7 linked regions of the Callithrix jacchus genome follow. The protein of the gene in region 4 interacts with the protein of the main gene of each other region in a pairwise test. Links are inferred from orthologs where the notes say so. Each region holds a gene or a part of one and is shown on either strand. Other genes may lie near its edges. The genes, in order: BEX3, BEX5, MTMR9, EMILIN1, ZC2HC1C, placenta-specific protein 9-like and NMI.

Region 1 (3,469 bases), on a different chromosome or scaffold from region 4:
ACTCAGGATGAGGTTCAGTCTCAACTTGTTGTTTCACACATTCCCTGCTTATTCCTAATATATTTTGAAACATTCGCAGAAAAGGGTAGATGGCTTTGAAACTAATTTCTGAATAATATGTACTTAACTTCTGATTTCATTCTAAGAAGATATTTGTAGGGATGGTTTGAAAGGTTTAGAAAGGAAAGCAGAGAATAAAAGACTCCCTTTCTCTGATGACTGTGGTATCAAAAACATCAAAGTTACATGAAATGGTGAAGATCTGAGGACTGGACATCTCCCTGAAAATTTACTTTACAGATCATTTTGAAAACACCAATTGTGTTCAGAAAGAGTGCCTACTTTTTATGAAGATAAAATTTTAAATGAGCTAGTAGGTATCAAAAGTAATGGTTTGATGTGTGTGGAGCTCAGAGAAAATATTTTGTGTGGTACAGGTCAACATAAACAGTGAAAGATTTCATTCTGTAGGATAAAGCATTTCCTTTTTTTTGACAGGATCTGTCACCCAAGCTGGAGTGCAGTGATGCAATCCCAGATCACTGCAACCTCTCCCTCCAGGGTTCAAGTGATTCTCCTGCCTCAGCCTCCTGAGCAGCTGGGATTACATGCGCGCGCCACCACACCCGGCTAATTTTTGTATTTTTAGTAGAGACAGGGGTCTCACCATGTTGGCCAGGCTGGTCTCGAACTCCTGGCCTCAACCGATCCGCCCACCTCGGCCTCCCAAAGTGCTGGGATTGCAGGTGCGCCATGGCCACCGGCCAGCATTTCCTTCAAAATTGAAAAGTTAGAATTTATAATTTTCTGAAGCATGCAGATTTTTAAAGAAAAGGAAACAAAAAGAAATAGATACTGCCCACTCCACTTCCTTGCCCCTCTTTCTGACAAGTGCCGTCCTGCCTTCCCACCTTTGCCCTCACTCTAAATTTTCCAGAAGGGTAGGACTTCAGGGGCTACATGGGCATTGGTGACTGTGCACATGCAAGGGGTAGGGGTGGGAATGCAGCGCAAAGTGACAGGTAGAAGGGAAGAGAAAGTAGAAAAGGCCAAAGCCAAGGCCTAGAGTGAGAGGAGGCGGTGGTGGAGGATAGTGCAGACTCTCCCTGGTAACCAGAGGAGAGCAAACTCCAACCGCAGAGCAGTGATGCCACTTGTGGGCCCTCAGATTGGAGAGGACAGAAGAGTGACAGAGCGGTGCGCTCTGGGGCACCTCACGCAGACGGGAGTAGGGAGGCTGCTTTTTGCGCGGGCATTTGGCGGCGGGGGTGGGGGAAAGGGGGGAGATCCTGCTGCACTGGCCGCCCAAGTTGAGGGGCGAGCTCAGCGGTGACGCGCGGCCCTCACGTGACCCAGAGCTGCAGAGCTACGCAGCCTTCGGTGCAGTCGTCACTCGCGTCTGGCTACCAGCTCCCCGCTGCCCTGCGCTCGGCGGGCTGGCATCCGGCCCGGGGAAAAGCGGAGCAGGTAAGATCCCCGGGGTCCGTGCACCCCGGCCTGGCCGGCAGCGGCTCACGGACCCCCGCGACGGGCGCAGAACAGCGCAGGGGGTCCCCGCCAGTTTTCTCCACACCCCAACATTCTTGGGAACATAGAGGCCACCTGGGGTGGGCAAGCTGGAGCGGCTGGGGTCCTAGGGGCAGCAGAGCAACCAAGAGCGAGGGAAAACCACCCCCGAGTTCCTGCAGGAAAACGTTGAACACCGCGGGGGGGTGGGGCGGCTGAGGGTGGGGGCGCGGAGTGCGGGACGCGGGGCGCTGGCCGCAAGGAAAGCCCGGGCCCGGGGCGGGGAAGGAGCTGGGTGGTGGATAATCCTTGCTAGCGTTCCGCTGCAGGAGCCCCCATCCCCCCACCCCTGCCCATCTGCAGGTCTGCGAGGCTAAGTGTCCCGGCGGCGCACCTCGGGGCGAGAATCCGGAGGAGGAGGAGACCGCAAGGATAGGCCCAGGTCGGTGCGAGGGACGGTGGTGGTGCGGGGGTCCGAGCGTGAGGAAAGCCCAGTCTGAGACCCCAGCCCTCTCCACCCCATCCCCCCACTCCTACACCCGTCCTCCATTTTGCTGCCTGCGAAGCTCTGAGAAAGAATCTTGGGAAAGGAAAAATGGTGGGTTTGGGGGAAGGGAGGTAAGGGGAGAAAGCTGGAGGGAGGGGCTCTAATTGGAGGCCCCCTAGAGGACGCACGGAACTTCTAAGGTGGGAAAATATGAAATTAAATCCTTTGATATCAGGGCTCTGAATCCTGCTGGTCAGTGTACCAAGCATTCAGTCTCTCTCCTTGCCTTTGTCTTACTTGTGTTCAAAGAAAAACAACCAGAAAAAAAAAATCTCATCATGGCAAATATTCACCAGGAAAACGAAGAGATGGAGCAGCCCATGCAGAATGGAGAGGAAGACCGCCCTTTGGGAGGAGGTGAAGGCCACCAGCCTGCAGGAAATCGACGGGCACAGGCTCGCCGACTTGCCCCTAATTTTCGATGGGCCATACCCAATAGGCAGGTCAATGATGGGATGGGTGGAGATGGAGATGATATGGAAATATTCATGGAGGAGATGAGAGAAATCAGGAGAAAACTTAGGGAGCTGCAGTTGAGGAATTGTCTGCGTATCCTTATGGGGGAGCTCTCGAATCACCACGACCATCATGATGAATTTTGCCTTATGCCTTGATTCCTGCCATTTATCATGAGATTAATACTGTGATTCTCGCTGTTTTCCTTTTCCTTGCATTTTCCTAATATGCCTTTACTGATCCGTTTGCTGTGAACCCTATGTTATTTCCATGTGTCAAGTGGGTCTTGTATTGCCAGCTTCTAATTGGAGATTGCCTTTGCACTCAGTCTAAGTTTCTGTCAGCAGTAGAGTTTCACCCATGTGCATGGAAAAATTTAAAGTTAATAAAGCAATTTAAAAAACAATCTATACATTTAGTATTGTCTCATTAAAAATGTATCCTTACATATAACAGATGAACTAAAAAAAAAATCTGAGATTAAATACACCAGAGTGTTAATTGGGGCATATTTTTCTATGGTAATTGTAATCCCAGCAATTTGGGAGGCCAAGGGTCGGATCACTGGGTCAGCAGATCAAGACAATCCTGGTTAACACAGTGAAACCCCATCTCTACTAAAAAAAAATACAAAAAATTAGTTGGGCGAGGTAGCCCACGCTTTTAGTCCCAGCTACTTAAGAGGCTGAGGCAGGAGAAATGCTTGAACTCAGGAGGCGGAGGTTGCAGTGAGCCTGAGCTGAGACTGTGCCACTGCACTCCAGCCTGGGCGACAGAGCAAGACTCTGTCTCAAAAAAAAAAAAAAAAAGGTATGTGACACTTTTTTTCTTTTATTATCTGGAGTTTGAGAAGCAATGAAAATTATTTTTAAATGAGATTATGAATGGATTATGAATGTAGTCCAGATACATAACAATACTGCCTCAACAAATTTGAAGAATAAACTTTATCTTTCACTC
Region 2 (4,167 bases), on a different chromosome or scaffold from region 4:
CACACCTGACTTCATATATGCAAAGTTTGTTTCACACACAAAATTATTTAAAATATTGTATAAAATTACCTTCAGGCTATGTGTTTGAGGTATATACAAAATTAAATAAATTTCATGTTTAGAGTTGGGTTTCATCCTCAAGATACCTCTGTGTACATGCAAGTATTTCAAAAACTGGAAAAAAAACAGAAATCTGAAATACTTCTAGTCCCAAGCATTTCAGATTTTGAACCTGTACTCACCTATAAATCAATTGGACTCCTGATTGGTACACTCTTTGGAATCTTCCCTAAAAATGAAGGGCACCTGGAGGGCTGGAGCCTTGCATGTATAAATAGAGCAAGACACAGAGCTCAGTCACTACCTCATTTGATTCCCACACAGCTCTCTAAGACATTTATAATGTAATGTATCTGTTATTATCAGATATATGTTTCTAAATGAGAGATCTACAGGTAATATAAGATTTATAGGTCTTTAAATCATGCTTCAAGTGTTTATTAATTGTCCTCATTCCCTGTATAAGCTGATTGGCAAGTTTGTTGATTCTTGTTTTTTTTTTTTCGTGATACATACAAAACATAGGTATTAATTTTGAAAAAGTGAGAAAAAAAAACCAGCTAACCAATAAAAAACATAAAGAAATTTAAAAGTACCAGTAACTATACGACATAGAAAAAGCACATTCTGGTTTTCATATATATATATTTCACATAAATTATATATTTTATATATAGTGCGCGTACATATGGTTCTAAATGAAATAGCATATCTATAGACTACTTTTAAATTGCTTTATTAACTTTAAAGTGTGCAATAAACATCTTTCCATGAAAGCTGATGAAAATCCTCTTCTGACAGAAAAACTTCCAGACTAGATCTAAATGCAATCTCTAATCAGAAAATGGCAGAAGAATGTCAAAAGGTTCACATTAAAGGTATACTAGGAAAAATGCAAATTTGGAAAGCAGGGATTTTATGATTATTAACCTCAAAATTCAAGGCATAAGGCAAAACTCATCATGATGATCATGCTGAGGGGGGTCCCCTATAAGAATGCGCAGACTGTACCTCAACTGAAGTTCCCTAATTTTCCTCCTTAGCTCTCTCATCTCCTCCATGAACCGTTCCATATCATCTGCATCTCCGTCTATCATATCAATGTTATCAACAAGCCTATCGGGCACATCCTCTCCAAAATCCTGGGCACGTGGAGCCTGAACCCCTCTAATATTTCCTTCAGGCTCCTGGTCTTCACCACCTCCTAAAGTGGGAGCTTCATTCTGCACTGGGGCCTTCTCCACAACTTTGTTTTCCTTGGGGACATTTTCCATGTTGAGTTTTTTATTTCCTGTTTTTTCTTCCTAGAAGATCAAAAACATAAGAGGGAATGAATACTTGGTAGGATTCAGAGCTCTGTTTGAGAAAAGTTTTCCCAGCTGAGAAACTTTGTGAGCCCTGTAGGGGACACCCCAGACCCAGCGCTGCCCCAAAGCCCACCATTTTCCCTGAAAATCCCTTGCCCAGGCCACTCCTACCACCAAAATGCAGGACGAGTTGCGGGAGGGTGACAATCATAGAAAGACCAGACTTCATTCAGCTCCCTGGGATCCTAATAAGCTCTCCAGGAGTGCCCCTTTACTCCCTTCTTCCCTCATCAGACACAGGCTTGCCGTTTTTGAAGACTCTCCTAAGTTTCTCCTGCACTTAACTCGGGCAGGAAGGGCCGTGAGTCACCAAGATTCTACTCTGATCCTTGATACCCCTACACCAGAGGGCCCCAGGCAACCTACCTGCAGGGATGAGGCAGTCTTTCTCTCTTAGTCTTGAAATCTGCTGCACGAACGTACTAAAAGACCTGAAGACAAATGCGACAATTACCAGGACTGATCATTTGATCAAAGAACCGGTGCTGGGAGTTGATTTATGGTTCTCCTAGTATTAGCACCTTCTGTTTCTCCTCCATCCTGTCTCACGGCTTCTCTTCCCAACCTGTGACAGGCTATCCCACCTTCGAGAAATAGGCATCAAAGATTATTATTTCCAAAACATTTTAACCTCTTCTTTAGGCTCTCATCCCTACTATTTCCTCCTACCTGTCACCAAATTACCATTTCTGGAATGCATCTTGCCGGGCGGGGGAGTTAGAAGAGCTTGCTGAACGGATATGTGGTTTATTCACAGAGAATTTCAATCTAGGTATCCGTCAGGCCCTACTCCTTTGCCCACCATTTTATGCATCAAGATGGACGATAGGGAGGTATGTGGGCATTGCAAACTACGACCTGCTGCGGTCTCTGCGCTTTGTCATTCTCACTCCAGGATCTACAGCAGCGCCGACGCTTACACCGACCTACCTGCTGGGACCAAAAACAGTTTCTCGCTCCTAGCCTCTGTCCCTCAGTCAGAAGCTCGCCCGCCCAACTGCCTCAGTAGGGACCTGCTTTCCAGACCTAATCTCTGTCCCCCTCCTCTGCAGCAATTCCTCTCCTCGGCCCCCGTAGCCTATCATTTCCAGCTCTAAATGGGTAAAGGATGAAGAAAAGATACCTAGAACACAGGCCTAAAACCTTGGTAGGGTCCGCACTCCCCATCCCTTGGTTGCCTGCTGCACCTCCCTCTGGCGGCCATGCAGTAAGCAGGCCATTTCCTAGCAGTCTCCTCCCCCGGCCGGACTCAATCAGACATTGCCTGATCGTCAGCCTCCTAGGAGATCTCAAATGGTATGCATTCTCAATCCGGGCCCCTTGGGAGATCCCCTCCCCAACCGATCCATTTCTCACGCTAAACTGCTGTGTATCTGGAAAGGGGTCGATAATCCAGTCGTGGACCCGCTCTTGTCTTTGCCTTCTGCCGCCCCCACACCGCTCAGAGCCCACCAACCTGCTTAGAGCTCCTGTGGAGTCGGCTTCTACCACTTTCCTCCTTTCCTGGGCAGCTGGTTCGCCTGCCTTCAGAGCAACAGCGAGCCGTCCCACTGCCACCGACGACTACCAGACCGCAACTAGGAGAGACTAATCAACGCGTTGGCTCTGGGTCTCCTAAGGGCCACGTCACTGTGAGCTCAGATTTCCAATTACCATTCATCCCGCAGTGCGGCAGGAGGGTGCGGACGGGACTGTGGGCGGGGCCACCTTTCTCCTGATTCTTGCTTTCTCCACCACCACCCACCCCTCTATTTTTTAATTTAGCGATCCCCAAGACCAAACGGGTCATAATATTTTGTAGTTTGTATTTGGCTTTCTCTGTTTTCTGCTGGAGCTTTTAAATAATCGCTTCCTCCTCTTCTATATCCTTAAACGCACACTTCTCTCACCTTCGCATCCCAGAAAATAAAGCCTTAACAGTTTTGCAGGCCTTTGTCCCAGACTGGAACCCGAAGAAGGGGTGGGGAGCACGAGGCTAGGAAGTCTGGAAAATAGGTAGGAAGTGGCATTCAAAAATTTTTTCACTTCAATTACTTTCCTTTTTGTTTATTTGGGAAGGTGGATCCTTTTGTTTTTCATCAGCATGCATTCATTTTGTTGTTTTTATTACTAGACAATACAATTATTTTCAGTTGAAAAAACAGGATTTTAGTTGTAAAAATATGACAATCTGTTTCGACTGCTGAATCATATTATAAATATAGACCTTCCAGAATGCACTCCCCTACCTCCTTTAAGGACTTTGCCATATAAGGGTGGTTTCTCTTGTGAAGGATCTCTATCTGCACGTCTTTCCATGAGGTGATGCGTTGAGTCTAATAGAGCCTTGCTGGTGGGTTTTCATATCTTGAGAACTTGTGACAAACTGACGATCTCCTCTAAATTGTATTAGTGTAACTTCACCTTACAATAACAGCCCTGAGAATTCAGGACAATAATTTGGGGAAGCCACCCTGACAGATGAAAATGTATTAAGATGGACACATAGAGGGGAAAAACAAACACTTAGGCCTACAGGAAGATGGAGGGTGGGAGGAGGGAGAGGATCAGTTTACGTATGTAACAAAACTGCACATGTACTCCTGAACTTAAAAGTTAAAAATATATTGTGAAATTACAATGTTAAAATAATATTGTACTGGAATAAATATAGAACTAATGAGAAAAGAAAGCCTATTGTCAAACCCAAATATGGAAAAATGCTATTAAATCGATTGAAATATTTTGAATCAGTGGGGAA
Region 3 (3,799 bases), on a different chromosome or scaffold from region 4:
GGCTTCCTTCCACCTCAGTTCACTTCTAATCTTATCTGTTGAGGCGTCCCCTAGTTATCGTTGTGGGGAAATGGCCTTAGATGATCTTGCGGTTCTAAGTGTGAGCTTTAGTGCTTTGATTTTGTGCAGCGACAGTGGCTGCTCAGAACTTCTCTCTGCTTGCTTTCGTGATTGTTGTCACAGTCACAGTGTAGGGCTCGTGAGCTCTTAAATGAGAGGTTACAGGTGTACTTCCTATTCAAGACTTCTGGGACAATGTACCTAAAAGCGACTGTCAGGTTTAATAACTGATGAGAGTAGCTGTTCGGGAGAAAAGCCACGTTGGCAGCTGGGTGGCCTGACGGATGATTTCACTGCTTTGTACCAAGTCTTGGGAGCTTAGAGACAGATGATGGGATGCAATCCTTGTTGTTCTGTGGAAGAATTCCTGCCACACTGGAGTTTCAGTGTGGGTTCCATGCTCCTCAGCCTAGAGCTGGGAGAAGCTCTCTATTAGGTAAAATCCTACAGTAGGCATATATATTGAATGAGACTGCTCTTCGGCCTTAAAATGTCTCTCTGCTGTTTACATTTACATCACAGATAACCATTAATATTTAGTAATTCCTGGATTGAGAATATAGGTTCATATAATAGAAAAATCAGCATGGGTGGGTCAGGCTTTAGGCTGTGGTTCTGCTCCCCCTTTCTGATAGAGCCTGACATTTGCACCTGCATAGAATGGCTCATTAGGACCCATGGCAGTTTGGTTTGTAGAAAGTGTTTTAATGAATCATAAAACCTTCGTACACTTGCCATCTGCTGACACGGTATGGCCTGGCAAGTTTTCATGCCTCCTTACTCGAGTATCTGTAAGGCCTTATTTTGGTATGATACAGTTAACATAGGGCTACGGAGTGGAAACATATTTCCTTCTAGTTCATAATAAAAGGATAATTGTTATTATTTGGGAAAGAAGCGGTTGGCTGCAGTATGGAAAGATTGCCTCTGAAGTAACCGAGAGAGAGTCTGTGAGCACATGTGCTACAGCTTAGGCTTTCAGATGACAGCCTGTGTGCTGGAGTTGTCACTTCCCTGGTGAAAATGGTTTCACACATTTAAGAGATCTTACATGTCTGAGTAAAATTCTATAATTATAAAAATAAAGGATTTGTATTGGGAAATCGGAAAGTTTATGACATTGTAAATTATCAACTTGTTTTCCTGAATATATCATAGAATGGTATTTGGATCTACTTGATAATTTCGTGGGATATTTCCAAAGAATCAATGAGCAGGTGCATACAAGTAGTGACTTTTCAGATATTGTGTTCAGTTGCATTATTTTCAGTACCTCAAGATTCCTGTATATTTTAGAGTATAATAAGACACAGATGTGAGTTGTGGAAACAAGACAAAATAATGTATTTGGGAGGCCGAGGTGGGCAGATCACAAGGTCAGGAGTTTGAGACCAGCCTGACCAATATGGTGAAACCCTGTCTCTACTATAAATGTAAAAAATTAGTCGCGTGTGGTGGTACATGTCTGTAGTCCCAGCTATTCGGAAGGCTGAGGCAGGAGAATTGCTTGAACCCAGGAGGTAGTGGTTGCAGTGAGCCGAGATTGTGCTGTTGCACTCCAGCCTGGGCGATGAGCAAGACTCCATCTCAAAAAAGAAAAAGGATGTATAATACATAAATTATATTATCCACAAATATAATTTTAATCCATTGTATATACCTTTCTTCTTCTGTTTTCCATTCCTGGATTCAATAGGTATTTTCCTACGTTGGAATAGATCCTCTAAGTATTTGGATGAAGCATATGAAGAAATGGTTAACATCATTGAATATAATAAGGAATTACAAGCAAAAGTCAATATCCTTAGAAGGCAGTTGGCAGAACTGGAAACAGAGGATGAGATGCAAGAGAGTCCCTGAAAGGTCTCCTCACACCCTTCGCAAGGACCTTCCTGGGCCTGTGTCCACCTCTCTCTCCTTGTGCCCTTCAATTCACTTTTATACGGTAGCCTTGAAGTGAAGGCTTTAGACGTGGGTCCCCTCTAATGTAACGGATTTCTCAATACTGTATGAATAATGAAACTATCATAACTCATGTTTCATGTGGCCTGTTAGGTCCTGTCACTTGGAGCAGGAAGGAGGTGCTAGTCATTTTATTTTTACGTGAAATAGATGACCTATTTAATGCCATTTGTGTTCACGCCATTTTATCCAAAGCTTTTTTTCTGTGTCCACTCCCTAAACAGCATTCTAGAGCAGTCAAGGAGACAGTTAATCTCTCTAGGGACTATTTGGTGGTTTAAAAAAAGGGTCAGACTTTTAAACACTCTGAGCATAGAAATGTTTCTCAAAATAGTAGTGACTGATAAAGCAAGAATTTTGTGTTTAACATACCATTTCCAGTGTCTTTGCCACATAAAATACCTATTTTCTTCAAAATCGTTTTGGACTAACGAAGCTGAATCTGTTCTCATTCTTGTTTGTCAAGAAAGGAAAATCTGTTGTTGAAGGTAAATTATTTCTTCAAGCGCAACAGGTGCGGCCCTCTGATATTTACATTGAGAAGAGTGAAATTTATTTTCAGGTAGACACTAAAAGTATGTGCAATACAGAAGTAAAGTAGGAATTTGTTACTGGTTGAGAATTGCTACTGTTGAATTGTTTTTATTTTAGGTTTTGACCATACATAGACAATGTGTATCAAATGCTGGTTGTAAAATTAAATCATCATCTAGAATAGAGTTAATTTGTTATAATCAAGCTACACATACGGTTTTCTTAAACCAGAGGTGATGCACTGCCCTTGTCTAAAGTTCTTACTGCACTGGTTTATGTGTGTATGTGTGTTTTACTGCGTGTGTGGTTTTAGTTTGTAAGTATTCTAAGAGTTTACTAATACTAACGTTAAAATTCTCATGTTAACCTGAGCCTTTTGCAGATTTATTTTGACTCTATTGATTTGTCCATTATGTGTTAAGCAAATACAGCTTAAGTGAAGGGGGAAGTTTATAAACATGAAGTAACTCTGTGTTTCCAACTTCAGGACAGATTGGAGTGTTTCAGTGTTACAGAAACAGTGATGGCCGTGTTCATGCTCTGCTAGTTTATGTCTGCAACTCTAAATATTTGTGGTTTGGTATTTCGCACCTACATTTCTGTTAGGTGACATTGCTCATTTTAATAAATACGACCAATTCTAGTTTTTCTTTAAAAGGATAGTCATGAGTAATCTTTAAAACCATTTCTGTACCATCTGTATATAACCATTTTGGTAAAGAACACACCACACTGAACCCTGCTTTAGAGCTGTGTGTTAAGCTAAAAACGTAATTTTTTTTAAATAGACTAGTAAAATCTGTGGCCACATTGAGAGCCTTTGAAAATGGCAAATACTTTTTTCATCACCAGTTGCCCAAGTTTTATCTTTCTTCTGCTTCCTCAGCCTCGTAGCAAAGGCTGGACAGCAGCCCATAGTCCACAGTCTCTTTGGGAGAATTTGCCTGCTGCCTTCTTTAAGCTCAGTTTATTCTTGACTTATTTCTTTGCTGTAGTTATGAACCTTGAGGCATTAAAACCCCATGGCAAGGAGCATAAGAGGTGTTCTTATATCTCTGCATTGTGTGAAGTGTCCGTCTTAGTTTTGTAAAAAAAAGAAACAGCCTCGCTTTTTTGTGTCCCTCAGAATTGCTTGCTATGTCTGTTAATACAGCTCACCCTTTTGTTTTCTCCTCTTTTTGTCTCGAGATTGTATGTGAAGGAGCCTTTTTCTTCTCAGCTAACAGGCATGTAAGGAAAACCA
Region 4 (4,345 bases):
CCAGCACTTTGGGAGTCCGAGGCGGGTGGATCACGAGGTCAAGAGATGGAGACCATCCTGGTCAACATGGTAAAACCCCGTCTCTACTAAAAATACAGAAAATTAGCTAGGCATGGTGGCGCGTGCCTGTAATCCCAGCTACTCAGGAGGCTGAGGCAGGAGAATTGCCTGAACCCAGGAGGCGGAGGTTGCGGTGAGCCGAGATCGCGCCATTGCACTTCAGCCTGGGTAAGAGCAAAACTCCGTCTCAAAAGAAAAAAAAAAAAAGAAAGGTTTTCTCTCCCTGCCTACGTGCCCTCCACTGTTTGACAGAAGCCTGCCTCCATTGCCAAATGCCTTTCTTCCTCTTCTTTTTTTGAGACGGAGTTTTGCTCTTGTTACCCAGGCTGGAGTGCAATGGCGCGATCTTGGCTCACAGCAACCTCCGCCTCCTGGGTTCAGGCAATTCTCCTGCCTCAGCCTCCTGAGTAGCTGGGATTACAGGCACGCGCCACCATGCCCAGCTAATTTTTGTATTTTTAGTAGAGACGGGGTTTCACCATGTTGACCAGGATGGTCTCCATCTCTTGACCTCGTGATCCACCCGCCTCGGGCTCCCAAAGTGCTGGGATTACAGGCGTGAGCCACTGCACCCGGCTACCTTTCTTCCTCTTCTATCATCTCTGGATTTCCCGTCTGCCTCAGTGGAGTCTTTGACCTTTTCCTCCCTGGCCCAACAGCCCACTCTCCTCTCTTCCTTTCTCCTAAGTCACTGACCTGGTATTTAGTGTGTACTCTCAGCCTTACCACTAACTTGCTGTATTACCTTGGACAAGTTACGCTCCCACTCTGACCTCAATTTTCACATCCTTAAAAGGAGACTAGATGGCGAGTGAAGTCCTGCTGAGCCCTCCAAGCTCATTCTCCCTGTCCAGTCCTCCCGTCCTGCCCTCCCCTCTGGGCGCCCTCTCTGGGGCCCTCCCTCTCCCCCAGGAGAGGCCGGCTCCAGTCCCAGGAGAGCTGAGGCTCTGGCTCCTGTTCCCGTCAGAGTGACCAGCCCTGGGCCTCCTCCCCAGCTTTGGCCCGGGCTCCATGTGGCCCGTCTGAGAGGCTGGCCTCAAGCCCGGCGGCATTTCTGTTTTTCCTTTTTTTCTCCTCTTTCCCGGAGTTAACAAGAAGCAGATGTGGCGCACGATGGTTGGAGAGGTTGGGAGAGGAAGGGGGAGGCCAGACCGCCAGCCAGACGGGGGGAAGGGAGGGGAGCCAGCAGGGAGGGAGGAGGCCAGGGCCCGCCCCACGGCCATTCTCGCGCCTCCAAACAGCCGCAGGGGCAAAGCCCTGTCACCCCCAGGATCCTGTCATCAGGGAAAGAGGACAGGGAGACCAGAAGAGGGCCATCTGGGACAAGGGGGCGGTCGCGCAGGACACAGCTTCAGAGAGCAGCTCCTGAGAGGGGCAGGGACGGGGCGCGGGAGCCCAGAGGGGGCACAGAGAACAAACCCCCTCAGAAGTGAAGAGGAGAGCGGAAGGAACCGAGCAGGACGGACAGGAGCTGAGGAGAAAAGAGGAGGGGAGAGGGGTCAAGCCAGGCAGCCAAGAAGAAGGCGTGTGGCCGGGGGACTGCCGGCAGGAAGCCGGGTCGGACGGGACGGGCTCGCGCCCTCCTGCAGAGCAGCGGCATCCCCGGGCCGGCAGAGGCGCCAGCAGCCGGACGGGATGAGTCTCTGAGGGCCACTGCGGAGCGCCCCGCCATGGCCCCCCGCGCCCTCTGGAGCTGCTACCTCTGCTGCCTGCTGACCGCAGCTGCGGGGGCTGCCAGCTACCCTCCTCGAGGCTACAGCCTCTACACGGCTGCCGGTGGGGCCCTCAGCCCCGGGGGGCCCCAGGCCCAGAGCGCCCCCCGGCCTGCCAGCCGCCACAGGTAAGAGTCTGGGTCCCAGCCCGAGGCTCCGGTGGTGAGAAGGGGGTCAGAATGCTGCCCCCGCCTAGCTCCCTGCCCTGGGCTGTGTCCGATAATGCAGGGCAGAGGGGAAGTGAGGAAGCCCATCCATCAGGTGGCTCCTCACATGCCCACCTTCCAACGAGGCCTTTTCCAGGATCCCCTGAGCACATGCGCTCCCTGGGTAACCTAGGGGCTCTGCTCCCACATCCCCCTGTGGAGCACCAGAGCCCTGCAGTTACATGCCCAGGGAAGCTGCCCTGAGGGGCATGGGCCAGGACTTCCTGCCAGATGCCTTGTGTCTCCCAGCCCCAGAGCCTCAGGGAGACCTTCTGTCCCTCTCTGGGACTCCCTTGGCCCCATCCAGTAATCTATAATTCTGACACCACTCCCGCTCTGTTCCCTCCAGCCCTCCAGCCAGACATAGATCAGAGGCCGGCATGAATGGGGCCAGGAGTGAAGAACTGCAGGCCCCAAGAGGGTCAGGCTCATCAATGGCTTATTCTCTACTTAACCTGGAGCTGGTCTGCTCCCATCCCGGAGGGGTGGGGTGGAAGCCGGTGTCCAGGAGATCACCCACAGGGCCCTGGCTGTCGTGCTCACACAGCCTGCCAAGCTGGGGACTCAGATACGGCCAGAAAGGGACACGCATGATCGGGTACCTTCAGAGGTTCCCTAGGACCCCACCGCCATGGGGACTGACTGCTCTGTGGTTGTGGTTTTCCATTCTGCGCCTCTCCCTATCTTGAAAAGTCTTCATCTGCTCCAGCTACACAGGAAAGCGTGGGGGATAGGGAGGATGCCCCTGCCAAAGGCCTTGCTCTCATGGATCCCCAAGGGTTCTGCATCTTTTGAACCATTCTCAGCCCCTCTGGTAGCCCCTGGCCCCTCCCCCAGGGCATGTGTCTTTGATTGTTGGATGCAGAGGGGGTTGTACCTACAGGAACTGGTGTGCCTATGTGGTGACCCGGACAGTGAGCTGTGTCCTTGAGGATGGAGTGGAGACATATGTCAAGTACCAGCCATGTGCCTGGGGCCAGCCCCAGTGTCCCCAAAGCATCATGTGAGTCCCAGGGCTGAGGAATGGACCCTTGGTGGGAAGTGGGTGAGGGCAGATGGTGGGTGGCCAACTCAGGGAATCCGTACAAAGCAGGGATCAAGGGCAGAGCAGGGCTTGGATCACAGCCATTTTGAGGAGATACCGAGGCAGCAGTTTGGCTTTTGAGGAGATACTGAGGGCAAATCTGCCTCATCCACCAGCCCCAGAAACCTTCTCTGGGGTGGCTCAGGCTCAAGCAGAGGAGCTCAAGGTTCCAGTGCAGGGCAAGGGAAGGAGGAGCAGGGATTTAGCCCTTGGTTAAAAAGCTGACAGCTAGGCTGGGCTCAGTGGCTCACCCATGTAATCCCAGCACTTTGGGAGGCCGAGGTGGGTGGATCACCTGAAGTCAGGAGTTCGAGACCAGCCTGACCAACATGGAGAAAACTGTCTCTACTAAAAATATAAAATTAGCTGGGCGTGGTGGCTCATGCCTGTAATCCCAGCTACTCAGGAGGCTGAGGCAGGAGAATCCCTTGAACCCAGTAGGTGGAGGTTGCAGTGAGCTGAGATTTTGCCACTGTACTCTAGCCTCGGCAACAGAGCAGACTCTGTCTCAAAAAAAAAAAAAAAAAAAAGCTGACAGCTGTCAGCTGAGCAGGGCCACATGTTGGACAGTAAGAGGGACCCAACCTGAAGGACAGGTCCTGCCCACCAGCAGCTGCTCAACCCTAAGGACAAGGACCAGGGTCACATGACTGGCAGTACAGGGAGGAATAAAGAGGCCTCCTGCCTCTGCCAGGTACCGCCGCTTCCTCCGCCCTCGCTACCGTGTGGCCTACAAGACAGTGACGGACATGGAGTGGAGGTGCTGTCAGGGTTATGGGGGCGACGACTGTGCAGAGAATCCTGCTCCAGCACTGGGGCCTGCATCTTCCACACCAAGGCCCTTGACCCGGCTTGCCCGCCCCAACCTCTCTGGCTCCAGCGCAGGCAGTCCCCTCAGTGGGCTGGGGGGAGAAGGTGAGTATGGGAGCTGCTGTGGGGGTGGGAAGTGCCAGATAGTGATCCGATGAATTGGGGAAATGTGGGGCCAGGCTACAGGGGAATCCCCCATGCCCTATGCCAGGGAGAAGGGGAACAGAAGGGAGTTAATGAGATCGCAGAAATTCCCTGCCCGTGTGTGTGTATGTGTGTGTATTTGTGTGTGTCTGTATGTGAGAGAGAGAGAGCACCCAAAAGGTGGAGAGACTGAGAAAAAGAAGGCTGAGAAAGAGAATGTGCTCACATACGCCCACAAGTGGCCAAGATCCTTCAAACAGCTGCAGGAAAAAGGGGACATTCCTTTGAGAAGCTTGGTCCATGGGGACAGACAGTTGAGACTACAAATC
Region 5 (4,450 bases), on a different chromosome or scaffold from region 4:
AAAGAATTCCAAACTTAGTTGTATTTCATCTATTTACTCAGAAGCTATGTCAACACTGAGCTGATCTTAAAAGAGTAGACAGTTAAAGCAGTGTCACAGATCCTAGTCTTGGGAGGTGGCAGAATACATTGCAAAGAGTGAGGAGTTCTCTCCAGGTAACGAAAATGCTGCATTTTTCCTTTTTGTGTCCTTTAAATTTTCTACAGTAAACGTTTATTACTTTTATAATCCAAAGGGCACAAATTCTAGGTCTAGATTTTTTTAGTCATTCCAACCAAGAGTTAAATGCTGACCCTGCCACTTAAAGCTGTTTGTGACCTCAAGCAACTCACTTAGGCTATCCAAGTCTTGATTTTTACATTGATACAATGAGAGATAATGAGAGAATCACATGAAAGCTCCCATCACAATGCTGGCAAACAGTAGTAATCAAGAAATGTTAATTTTAGATGTCAATTCTTCCTACATGATACATGAATTTTCCCTAAAGAAAACTGATGACGACATAACAGACCCCTACAATGATCCCCACATCAAGTCACATCCATAAGGCTCTTGTTACCTTGGCTGAAGCTGGCCCCTTCCAGTTCAAGTACTGCTCTAGTTCTGTGCCCTTAGCCCGGGCCCTGGAGGAGTCGAACACTTTCCTCTTGGACTCCCGCATCCTGCTGCAGACTGTGGAGTGTCTCTCCAGCCTGAGCAAGAGGAATTTGCGCCCACAGTGGCTGCACTCGCCCAGTTGTGGCTCTTCAATGGAGCCGCCGGACCCTGAGGAGTCTGGTGCCATGGACAGGCTGGAATTTCTGGTGGATCCCTGCAAAGAACCGCCTGGTGTTTCTAAAGGCGGAGAGAACTTCTCCATCGACGGCTCTGAGACTCGGTCTCGAATTTTGTTATTGCTTGCCACCAGCCTTTCCCTTTTGAGCCTCTGGATTCTATAATCAGAGAGCTGGAATGGACTCGAATTTTGTTGAGACCATCCCCAAGCTTCATCCTGTCTCCTGTCTCTACCGAATTCTTCCTGAAACTCAGAGTCTGGGGAGAAGATAGGTTTGTACATGGTGTTGCTATTATTACCTTTAACTCTTCTCCTGGGTAGCATAATTTTCTGTAGCTCTCTGTTTTCATTTTCCTTGGCCTGTTCCTTTTGCTTCTGGATCTTTCTGAGTTCCTCCTCTGTCTTCTTCAGCTTTCCCCTCAGAAGACTCTGCTTCCTCCGGATTTCCTCCTCTAAGTTCTCTCCTGCAGCTTCTAGTCTTCGGATCTGCACCAGCTCAGTCCTCTCGAAGTTTACCGCGGCCCTCTCCTCCTGCACCGCAGCAAGAACAGTACCAGTCACGGAAAAGTTGACCTGGTCCCTCACACCAGGGTTGCTGGATGAAAACGCTCTCAGCTCAGGGGGCCTTGGGTAGACATTCTGGTCCCCATCCATGCCAGCCTCACCCATACTGCACGACTTCCGATGGACCACAGGTTTCAGTGGGTACGCCCGGTCCACCCCAACTCGTTTCTTTGTCAAGGGAATAAAGTCCTGGTTATTGGCTTTGGGATACCAGGATTGAGGGCCTGACGAGTAAAACGAACACTTTCCTTGGCCCTGGGAATCACTTCCTGGATCTTGCTGGCTGATTTCAGTACAGTGGGGATAGGAGTAGCTCCGCGCTTTTACGTGTGTGTTCCATTTGGGGTGAGGGTAGACTTTATCCAGCGTCAACTCTTTGTTGCTCAAAAGCTTCTTCTGGAAACTGTTCCTCAGGTGCCCCTTCAGGGACTGCTGGGAAGAGTCACCTTGTTCGGAAGAGTCACCTTGTTCGTAAGAGTCTTGCTTGGCTGAGTGGGGCCCTGGAGCTTCTGTTGTATTATGTGGGAGCATAACGCCCACAGGCAGATGTGAGGCCAACTGGAGACCAGCCATTCAGGGCCTGGACTGACGCCTATGAGAGATTTAAACCAGATACATGGGAAGGGTTTGTCTGAGATTCACTCTTGGCTGCTAAAGCAAACTATTTCTACATTTGCCCTGCCCACATTTCCTGAAACTTTTCTAGGGACAGTGGTGCTCGATCTGCCAAAGTTTCCCTTCAATAAGCATTCGGTGAGTGATGATGATGCACAAGACACTGTGTTAGGCCCTGAGGATAGAAAAAACGAAGGTGCCACAGGTGTTTCTACTACCTGGCTTTCTTTCCTCCACCACCAGCCTCTGCCACGCACAGTACACTCTATAGTAGGTGGAAAAAGCATCGGATTGAAAGTCAGGATTTAGGCTTGTAACAGCACAAGTGACTTCTGCCTTGCTGGGCCCTGTTTCTTCACCTGTAAATTGAAGGGCTCCCTCCGAGTCCAGCCTCGCCATTTTGCAGGTGAGACAGCTGTGCCCCAGAGGTACTGAGTGGCACAAAGAGCTCTCAGGTCTTCCCTCCTACTGGAACCATGCTTGACTCCAAAGAGCACAGAGGCTGCTGGGTCCTGGAGCAGGTGCCTGGCTGGCAAACCCTCATCCCAGGAGTCCCCGTGGCGCAGACGGTAAAAGTTTTGTAATCTGAGCGTTGAGGCCACCTGACCTGGCTGCGGCCTGTTTTAGATCCCGAAGGCTGAAGTCACGTTCTGTCACGAAGGGTCAACTGTGGCGCCCCCACTGCGGACTCCGCCTTTGGGGACAAGCCCTCTCGCCCTCCTGCCCTTCGGGCCCTTGGGAAGTGGAGGTACTGACCCCAAGTCTCCCCGCCCTTCTGCATACCTCAGGCCCTGCGTACCCAGAACTTGTACCTGCGAACCGCTCCTGCTCAGGGGAACCCCCAGGCCCCAGTTTCCCAAATCTGACCTCCCCCGAGACCGACGGCCGCGCAGGCGCTCTCAGCTGGGCTCTGTTATTCCCGGTGCCTGGAGACGGAGTCACTGGCGCGCCGAGCCCCGCCCCTCGCCGCGAACTCCTCGGGGAGGCGCGCGCAGGCGCCGTGCACCAGCGACCCCAGGCGGCCAGGGGCTGGGGTGCGGTCAGTCCGGGCGTCACTTGACCCAGTGTCCGGCCAACTCTGCAGCTCGGTCCAGCCCTGCCCTTGGGGAACAGGGGAGGGGCGGGAAGAGTCTTTCTGGGGCTCCATCAAAGAAGAACTTGTACTTTACTGAGAACGATGCTCCCAGACCCTGGGGTGTGCCTTTCTCGGGCAAAGGGCGGGGGCCCTGGCTGTGCCCCCGCGTGTTTCCGCCGCAGGATGCAGGCGTCCGCCCGCCTGGCGGGAGCGGGGCTGCTGCTGGCCTTTCTCGGCGCGCTCGGCTGCGCTGGGCGGGCCCCAGGTATGGCTGCACGCGCGCGCTCGCTGCTTGTCCTCGCCAAGGCTTTGGAACTTGCTGTCGACGTTTTTGCTACGCTGTATCTTTCCGGGGTAGCTTTTGTGGCCAATCTAATTATTTTGATATTATAATGTTTTACTCTCACGTGGTAACTCTGGCCGTCTCTACTTAGGGCCCAGGAATGACTCAGCCAAATGTAATGATGATAAAGTTAACTACCAGATGAAAAATAATCAGTATAACCTGGTTTCAACACTAAATGATACTCTATAACTTGTTGACATCAAAAGAAGGTTTATTTTTCTTCGTTTTGGTTCATCTGTGTAAACCGTTTGGAACAGGCAGTTCACTTATTCCCTGTAACTGCTCAATTCATGCACATGGAAAATAATGTAGACAGTAGTCATCAGTGTTAATACTTCACATTACAGCTGTTACATGTTACAAAGAAATTCCTTGGTGGACCCTCCAGGTCAGTCCTGTTTTTGTTTTTGTTTTTAATTCTTCGTTTTCATCCCTAGTTGACTCCACCGCCTCTCCATGTGTGCAGCCTCTCCATGTGTGCAGCTTCAGACACTCCCCACTCAGGGTCTGCCCGCGGCAGAATTTACCAGCTTGCCCCTCTCTCTCTCTCTCTCTTTCCCACCCCCTTCCCTCTCCTGTGAGAAAGAAGGGCCATTTTCTTTCCATGAGCTCTCTTCTCCGCCTCCCCGGTTCAAGAGATTCTCCTGCCTCTTCAGCCTCCTCAGTAGCTGGGACTATAGGCACAGGCCAGCACGGGTTCAAGAGATTCTCCTGCCTCAGCCTCCTCAGTAGCTGGGACTATAGGCACAGGCCAGCACGGGTTCAAGAGATTCTCCTGCCTCAGCCTCCTCAGTAGCTGGGACTATAGGCACAGGCCAGCACGCCCGGCTAATTTTCGTATTTTTAGTAGTCTTGACTTCACGATCCACCTGCCTTGACCTTCCAAAGTTACAGGCAGGAGCCACCATGCCCAGCCCCGAATTAGTTTTTTTCAGTACCCTCCGGGAACTGACTTTGTCACTTTACCCCTGCATTTTGTTATTACTATTTTTATTTTTTTTAATTTTTGACTCAGAGTTCTGCTAGATACCCCTGCATTTTGTTTTTGTTTTTGTTTTTTTGGGTTTTTTGT
Region 6 (3,744 bases), on a different chromosome or scaffold from region 4:
GGCTACTGCATTTAAAATGTCCAGAATAGGCAAGTTCATGGCGACAGAGATCGGTGGTTTCCAGGGGGTTGGGGGATCGGGAATGGGATGTGACTGCATAACAGGTACAGAGTTTCTTTCTAGAGTTTGAACAGTATTCTGAAACTGGTGGTAATGACTGACAACTTGTGAATGTACCGGAAGACACTGCATTTGTATGATTTTTTCTTTTTGAGACAAGGTCTCACTCTGTCACCCAGGCTGAAGTGCAGTGGCACCATGATGGCTCACCACAGCCTTGACCTCCTGGGCTCAGGTGATCCTTCCACCCCAGCCTCCTGAGTAGCTGGGACTACAGGCACATGCCACCATGCCAGGCTATTTTTTGTATTTTTTGCAGGGATAGGGTTTCACCATGTTGCCCAGGATGGCCTCGTAATCCTGGGCTCAAGTGAACCTCCCACCTTGGCCTCCCAAAGTGCTAGGATTATAGGTGTAAACCACTTCCCCCAGCCTTGTACAATTTAAAATGGTTAAAATGATGAATTTTACATTGAATTTCACTTCATAGGAATTTTTTTTAAAAAAACAACAAACCACTTTAATGTACACATAAATTCCCTGGGGGTCTCATTGCAATGGAGATTTGGATTAAGAAGTCTGGGTGGGGCCTGAGACCCTGATCCCCTTGCTTTTCACCTATGGCCACATTTTTAGACGCAAGGCCACTCGAAGAGCCCCCACCTCTGTGAATCAACCCCTGCTCATCTGCTCCTGTAATTAAGGAGGACTAAAGCACAGATGGCGGGAATGGGGGTGTCCCCAGGTCTGAGCCTGGGGGGGGGTTGTAGGCCTCCTCCAGGCATGGAAGTGGAGGGAGAGGGGGCTGTAGTTAAACGGGTTACTCTGTCAGCAGACACAGAGGAGACAGAAGGAGGAGCTTTTATTGCACACGAAGCTGCGGAAGGAAGGCGAGCGGACAGGGCTGGCTCTCAGAGGGTGCTGCCTGGCAAGGGCACCACCTCCAGCTGCTGGGCTCCAGCTCCGGGGCTCAGAAGCCATCTGAAAGAAAGCGGCGGCCTCCAGTGAGCAAGCTGGGGTGCTGCAGGGTCCCTGGCCTGTGCTGCCCAACAGTTTCTTCCCTCCTCTCCTCAGCCCTCCGGGACACCGGGATCAAGAAGAGAGCAAAGTGCAACTCCGTCCCTTCCTGATCAGTGGGGTGCCGTCTTCCCTGAGGGTTTTGGGGTGGAACAGGAGGGGTTTCTAAGGGGGAAATGAAAGGAGCTGAGGAGCTTTAGTCCGGAGAAGGCCAGTGAAGGAGGCAGCTTCTCATCGCTGGGGTGTGCGGAGATGGTATCTAGGGCCGGCTCTTCCCGAATTTCGTCTTGACACTGGGCGGCAGCGACCGGGTGTGGGTTGGTGAGGAGGGGTGATGCCGTCCCGCTTCTGTCCCCGGGGGCGCTGGGGCCCTCCCTGCTGTCCAGCCTACACCTGTGCGGTGGAGCAGCCCCCCCCCCCCCCGCCTCTGTCCAGCCCCAGATGACAGCAGTTCAGAGGCTTTCCTCTGCCACCTGCAGTGCTTACCTTCTCCGAGGAGGTCGGGGGCCGGGCTGAAGGGTCCTGGGGGCACGTTCCAGGCCAGCTCCTCCAGCAGGCCCAGCAGGCCTTTCACCTCTGTCGCCAGGTGCTCCACGGTCTTCTCTACAATCTATTGTGGGAAGGGGGTAAAGTCGAGGACAGGAGTGGTGCCGCACTCCGCTTCATCAGCTAGGCCCTAAGGAGCAGCTAGCGGTCCAGTGGGGTGCAGTGGGAAAGGACTGGGCGCTGCGGGAACTGATTTTCCTCACTCAGGCTCTGCCCCTACCTGCCTCAGTTTCCCCAGATGACAATATCCTAGCGGGCTCGCTCTCTAAGGCTCCTTCCTTTTTGGCACTCAGTCACAGGTTGGGGTGAAACGCCTTTAGAATACCTTCTCCCTTTTGGGACTTTGCAGCCTGGCGCTCACATTTCTTTTGTTGCTCTGCTCCCTGGTGGTGTCTCTGCTGAATGACAGATTTGGGATTTTGAAATTTACTCAGGGTTCTCAATAGTTATTTTTTTCCCCTGTGTATGCCATGGACCCCACTGGCAGTGTGATGAAGCCTACAGACCTCTTCTCAGAATAATGCCTTAAATGCAAAAAATAAAGCATATGGAATTACCAGGGGCATCGATTGCATTAAAATATTATTCATTATTAAAAATTAAACTTTTTGGCCCAGCACAGTGGCTCACACCTGTAATCCCAGCATTTTGGGAGGCCAAGGTGGGCAGATCACTTGAGGTCAGGAGTTTGAGACCAGTCTGGCCAACATGGAGAAGCCCCATGTCTACCAAAAATACAAAAAATTAGCCAGGCATGGTGGTGCATGTCTGTAGTCCCAGCTACTCGGGAGGTTGAGGCATGAGAATCACAGGAACCCTGGGGCAGAGGTTGCAGTGAGCTGAGATTGAACCATGAATTCCACCTGGGTAACAGAGCAGGACTCTGTAAAATAAAAATTTAAACTTTTGGATATAACATACATATTGACCAGCCATAGTGACTCATGCTTGTAATCCCAGTACTTTGGGAGGCTGAGGTGGGCGGATTGCTTGAGCTCAGGAGTTCAAGACCAGCCTGGGAAACATAGCAAAACCTCACTTCTCCAAAAAAAAAAAAAAAGAAATACAAAAATTGGCCAGGCATGGTGGTACATGCACCTGTAGTCTCAGCTACTTGGGATGCTGAGGTGGGAGGATTACTTGAGCCTGGGAGGTGGAAGTTGCAGTGAGGTGAGACTGCACCACTGTACTCCATCCTGGGTAACAGGGAGACAATGCTTCAAAAAAAAAATGTATTTATTAAGTCACATGATTTAACATCAGGCCTAACAACAACAGAAAAGTTGACATAGGAAGGTTATAAATAATGTGTTGAGATATTCATAACTAGAACAAGGTGAAATGATCTGGATTTCTCTTGATGACCAAGCTATAGTACTGTTAATACCACTGCTTGCTGTCTGTATTTATGAGGAACGGGAATGCTCAATTTCAGTTAAAGGCTTGCAACAATACAAATGCAAGCTTTTTTCCCCACAAGTTAGGAATCATGGCTAAATAACAAAATAGTGACTGAATTTCTACCTTCCCATCCAGCACTGATGCTGAAATATCTATCTGCATGGGAGCAAGTAAGGCCTTAGGAGAAGCAGGGTCCACTGGGGGCTGGACAGCCAGACTAGATAGGAGGGTGATGCTGGACAAGGCAGCCACAGTGCAAGATTGGCCTGTACAGTCTGACATTCCAAAGCAAGCTTGCATCTGCCCATAAAAACACCATCCTAGGCCAGGCCTGGTGGCTCACCCCTGTAATCCCAGCTCTTTCGGGGGAGGAGGTGGGTGGATCACCTGAAGTCGGGAGTCTGAGACCAGCCTGACCAACATGGAGAAATCTCATCTCTACTAAAAATATAAAATCAGCTATGCGTGGTGGCACATGCCTGTAATTCCAGCTACTTGTGAGGCTAAGGCAGGAGGACCTCTTGAACCCAGGAGGAGGAGGCTGTGGTGAAAAGAAATGGCACCATTGCACTCTAGCATGGACAACAAAAGCAAAGCTCCCTCTCAAAAATAAACCCAGTCTTAGAAGGTGGTCCTGACCCCGCATGTCCTTCCAAACCACGCTGTTACCTCCTCCACGACAACCAGACGGCGTTGCACAGCCATGTGTCTGTCACACAC
Region 7 (3,799 bases), on a different chromosome or scaffold from region 4:
ATTATACAAAATTCATTTTTAAAATGTGTGATTAACACTCTGATGATAGACAGACATGACAACACCTCAGAAACCCCATTTGGGTTCCTTTCTGGGTCTTATCTGCTTCTAAAAGTAACCACTATTTTAGCTTCAAACATCCTGCTCTTGCTTAATTTAAAGGGAAGCCCATGGTATGCCCTCTTCTGTCTTTTTTGTGTTAACATTGTGTTTATGAGACTTGTGTTGCTGCATGTCATTGTGATCTGTTCATTCTTATTGCTGTGAGGTTGTACTGATGCCCTTGCTGTATTACTTAGGATACATGCATTTTCCTATTATTTATGCACACTTTAACAAATTTACAATAACAAAAAATTAATAAAATTTACCCAAAAAAGATGATCATTAGTAAATCATTGTTGGATCAAATTCTGGATTTTCTCACTGAGTTCTTTTCTTCTTCTTCTCATCCAAGGTGCTTTGGTAATTTAAATGAGTTTCACGGTTTAAAAAGTTGGACATAAATTAATCCTCACCATTTAAATTCTGTCCTAAATTTTTCTGTATTTTAATTATACATAAATTTCACTCTCTTTTCTTCTTAACAACTCAGATTGTTAAAAAATTAAAGCATTCATGTACCCCAAAACCTAAAATGCAATTAAAAAAAAAAAGGAAAAAAAAATACACATCAGATTTTGAAGTGTTAGGTTAGAAACAAAAATACAAAGATATCATTAATTTTGTATTAATTACATGTTGAAATGATAATACTTTAGATATATTGGCTTAATTAAATATATTATTAAAATTTCAAAAAAAAAAATTAAAGCATTGACACTTTTTGTTTCTGAAGTGGGAGATAGGATATTGAATATCGGGAAGTGAGGTTTTCTGTGTTTATGAAATGAGTGACTTTGTGCAGAAGCCTCTTAAGATTCTAGTTACTTCTCAGACAGAAGCTAGAATCATTTAGTCTTACAACTCAAAGAGCCTTTAGAAACCAGCCAGCCCTAGACGACCCACCTTGCAGAGGACCAAAACCGTGATCAGAGAGCTTAAGTGAATTTGCTCTCTGTCACAGTGGGGTCAGAAATAGAATCAAACTTTCTCAATCTAATTTCAGAAAGCCCTTGGCTCCTCAGCATATACTGGATATTTCTGCATTATTGGGTAACACTCTGCCTTTTCTCAGACATTGTAGATTGTTTTGAAGACAGCCTTACCGTAATCAGAATCTACACTGCAGTTACGTGTAAAGGCAAAGAATAAGTTTGACTCACTGAATATTTCTAATCTATTTGTATTACTGTCAGCATGCAAAATAACCATGGGAAATAGAAATGCAAGCACCCTATCTCATTTGTGGGCTGTATAAATATGCTAATCCCAATAATTCTAAGCAGCTAAGTATAACCACCTACCTTTATCTTTCAGGTTATGATTTTTTTTTTTTTTTTGAGGCACGAGTTTTGCTTTGGTTGCCCAAGCTGGAGTGCAATGATGCAATCTTGGCTTACTGCAACCTTTGCCTCCTGGGTTCGAGTGATTCTCCTGCCTCAGCCTACTGGGATTGAGTAGCTGGGATTACAGTACCTGCCACCATACTTGGCTAATTTTTGTATTTTTAGTAGAGACTGGTTTCAGCATGTTGGCCAGGTTGGTCTCGAACTCCAGACCTCAGGTGATTGGCCCACCTCGGCCTCCCAAAGTGCTGGGATTATAAGCATGAGCCACCGCACCCAGCCTCAGGTTATAATTTTTGTTCATACTGTCCCTTCTCATTTTTTATAAACCTAAGTTGTGGTGATGGTTAAAAGTTGACGGGCAGGTGTTGGGGAAGGTGGAATTTTAAAATTTAATAAATTTAAAATCATCTAATTCTGGCCTGGGTACGGTGGCTCATGCCTGTAATCCCAGCACTTTGGAAGGCCAAGGTGGGCAGATCATAAGGCCAAGAGATAGAGACCATCCTGGCCAACATGGTGAAACCCTGTTTCTACTAAAAATACAAAAATCACCTGGGTGTGGTGGCACACACCTATAGTCCCAGCTACTCAGGAGGCTGAGGCAGGAGAATTGCTTGAACCCAGGAGGCTGAGGCAGGAGAATTGCTTGAACCCAGGAAGTGGAGGTTGCAGTGAGCTGAGATTGTGCCACTGCACTCCAGCCTGGCAACAGAGCGAGACTCCATCTCAAAAATAAAATAAAATAAAAATAAATAATTAAAATAAAATAATCTAATTCTGGAGTCTTTCTTTTTGGATGAAATTATTTGGATTTGAAATACTAAATTATACCCAACTCTATATTTCATACTTTGCAGTGAAATTAAACATAATATCAAATGATTTCCTTTTGAGATAGTCTGTTGTTGGCACTTTTAAAAATAGTCCTCATCTACGTGAACGATGTAAGTTTTAGAATTGAGCATCATACAATATTGACAATTTAAACATTGATTAGAAAAAGTGAGAGGATTATATGTTTTAAATTTCATCTGTGAAATAATATTAAAAGATCATCATTTGATTACTCTACTGAGCACTTACATGGAAAAAAGCAATTACTAAAGATGTTAAGTAAGACCATACTCAGAGTTCTACAAGATTCTAAAATCAGTGGGAATAATTATTGGATGACCAAATTACATTATCATTGGAAGGACTTTAGTTATTTCTTGTCTTGATTTTAATCAAACATTTTTGTTTGAATTAGATTAAGGAGGATATTCCTGAAACAAAGATGAAATTCATTTCACTTGAAATTCCTGAGAATGACAGCCAGTTTCAAAATATCTCCTGTTCATTTCAAGTGAGCTCGAAAGTTCGTTATGAGTTACAGAAAGGACAAGCACTTATCACCTTTGAAAAAGAAGAAGGTATGACTAATGTTAAAAAATATGACCATGTTATTAGGAAAGCGCTTGGACTTTCAAAGATTTTTTCACAGACATTTAGCTATTGCTTTGCAATTTTTACTTATATTATTTCTTATCCTCATAGTGACACCCTGAAGCAGGTATGATTATTCCCATTTACAGATGAGAATACTGACTCTGAGACAAGTGACTTGAATATGATCTCTTATTTAGAAAGCCATGACTGTGGGACTTAAATTCAGGTGCTGTGATGTCCAACATCAGCCTCTTTCTATTCCACGTGCTACCTCCAAATAGTAATGATAGTAATATTTCACGGTAGTAGAACTATACTGTTCTCAGAGACATTGTGGCATTTTATACTCACACAATTCCATAAATGTAGGAGGATAGGACAGTTATTATTGTGTACATTAAATATAGACATGCCATAGCCAAGAAAACAGATTCTGAGGATGTTTAAGGGATTTACCTAAGGGAACATGGCTAATGAATGGAAAGAGACTAGGAGTTAGAGATTTGGAATGAGACCTGATATTTGCTAAGTCTGCCATGGTGAGGGCCCCTGTTCAGAGCTGGTGGTTCCTGAATGGGGAGGATCTGGCTTTGAGTGCCAGCTTTATCCCTTCCTAGAAGCATGATGTGGGATGGGTTCTTTATAAACCACAGAGTTTTATACAGGTGCTTTGTGGTAGTACCTACTTCATGAGGCTGCTTTGAGTATTAAATGAGAAATGTTGATAAAATACTTAACACAATGTTGGATACTTAATACAAACTTAATAAATGTTGTTATTGTTGATAACGTACTTAGCAAATGTTGATAAAATACTTAGCACAATGTTGGGCACTTAATAAGAACTTAGTAAATTTTAGTTGTTATTGTTGCTATATGTTAGGAATTTTCCAGATAAGGAAACAGAAGCTTAAAGAAGA

The links.
Region 1: the proteins of EMILIN1 (region 4) and BEX3 interact in binary tests that used the Homo sapiens proteins (3 or more experiments, as listed by UniProt). The two-hybrid records come from large-scale screens. The link is inferred for Callithrix jacchus from reciprocal best matches to the Homo sapiens genes EMILIN1 and BEX3.
Region 2: the proteins of EMILIN1 (region 4) and BEX5 interact in binary tests that used the Homo sapiens proteins (3 or more experiments, as listed by UniProt). The two-hybrid records come from large-scale screens. The link is inferred for Callithrix jacchus from reciprocal best matches to the Homo sapiens genes EMILIN1 and BEX5.
Region 3: the proteins of EMILIN1 (region 4) and MTMR9 interact in binary tests that used the Homo sapiens proteins (3 or more experiments, as listed by UniProt). The link is inferred for Callithrix jacchus from reciprocal best matches to the Homo sapiens genes EMILIN1 and MTMR9.
Region 5: the proteins of EMILIN1 (region 4) and ZC2HC1C interact in binary tests that used the Homo sapiens proteins (3 or more experiments, as listed by UniProt). The two-hybrid records come from large-scale screens. The link is inferred for Callithrix jacchus from reciprocal best matches to the Homo sapiens genes EMILIN1 and ZC2HC1C.
Region 6: the proteins of EMILIN1 (region 4) and placenta-specific protein 9-like interact in binary tests that used the Homo sapiens proteins (3 or more experiments, as listed by UniProt). The two-hybrid records come from large-scale screens. The link is inferred for Callithrix jacchus from reciprocal best matches to the Homo sapiens genes EMILIN1 and PLAC9.
Region 7: the proteins of EMILIN1 (region 4) and NMI interact in binary tests that used the Homo sapiens proteins (3 or more experiments, as listed by UniProt). The two-hybrid records come from large-scale screens. The link is inferred for Callithrix jacchus from reciprocal best matches to the Homo sapiens genes EMILIN1 and NMI.

The regions. Positions count from the first base shown.
Region 1 is NC_133524.1:99,447,318-99,450,786, forward strand, and holds BEX3 (protein BEX3), read left to right. Parts: upstream 1-1,391; 5' UTR 1,392-1,467; intron 1,468-1,869; 5' UTR 1,870-1,948; intron 1,949-2,302; 5' UTR 2,303-2,331; coding exon 2,332-2,667; 3' UTR 2,668-2,915; downstream 2,916-3,469. UniProt on the Homo sapiens protein: May be a signaling adapter molecule involved in NGFR/p75NTR-mediated apoptosis induced by NGF. Plays a role in zinc-triggered neuronal death.
Region 2 is NC_133524.1:98,239,163-98,243,329, reverse strand, and holds BEX5 (protein BEX5), read right to left. Parts: upstream 3,007-4,167; 5' UTR 2,784-3,006; intron 2,724-2,783; coding exon of another isoform or gene 2,536-2,723; exon of another isoform or gene 2,376-2,535; intron 2,243-2,375; exon of another isoform or gene 2,097-2,242; intron 2,012-2,096; exon of another isoform or gene 1,949-2,011; intron 1,859-1,948; 5' UTR 1,794-1,858; intron 1,365-1,793; 5' UTR 1,335-1,364; coding exon 999-1,334; 3' UTR 781-998; downstream 1-780. Other genes in the region: T-complex protein 11-like X-linked protein 2, read left to right, coding at 2,536-2,723.
Region 3 is NC_133514.1:10,730,859-10,734,657, reverse strand, and holds part of MTMR9 (myotubularin-related protein 9), read left to right. Parts: intron 1-1,756; coding exon 1,757-1,920; 3' UTR 1,921-3,799. UniProt on the Homo sapiens protein: Acts as an adapter for myotubularin-related phosphatases. Increases lipid phosphatase MTMR6 catalytic activity, specifically towards phosphatidylinositol 3,5-bisphosphate and MTMR6 binding affinity for phosphorylated phosphatidylinositols.
Region 4 is NC_133515.1:87,938,490-87,942,834, reverse strand, and holds the start of EMILIN1 (EMILIN-1), read left to right. Parts: upstream 1-1,281; 5' UTR 1,282-1,730; coding exon 1,731-1,900; intron 1,901-2,861; coding exon 2,862-2,981; intron 2,982-3,756; coding exon 3,757-3,977; intron 3,978-4,345. UniProt on the Homo sapiens protein: Involved in elastic and collagen fibers formation. It is required for EFEMP2 deposition into the extracellular matrix, and collagen network assembly and cross-linking via protein-lysine 6-oxidase/LOX activity.
Region 5 is NC_133509.1:109,982,836-109,987,285, reverse strand, and holds the start of ZC2HC1C (zinc finger C2HC domain-containing protein 1C), read right to left. Parts: upstream 2,898-4,450; 5' UTR 2,770-2,897; exon of another isoform or gene 1,935-2,769; 5' UTR 1,916-1,934; coding exon 563-1,915; intron 1-562. Other genes in the region: ACYP1 (acylphosphatase-1), read left to right, coding at 3,135-3,297.
Region 6 is NC_133513.1:43,249,940-43,253,683, reverse strand, and holds the end of placenta-specific protein 9-like, read right to left. Parts: coding exon 3,694-3,744; intron 1,688-3,693; coding exon 1,564-1,687; intron 1,042-1,563; coding exon 1,031-1,041; 3' UTR 554-1,030; downstream 1-553.
Region 7 is NC_133507.1:79,070,521-79,074,319, forward strand, and holds part of NMI (N-myc-interactor), read left to right. Parts: intron 1-2,700; coding exon 2,701-2,863; intron 2,864-3,799. UniProt on the Homo sapiens protein: Acts as a signaling pathway regulator involved in innate immune system response.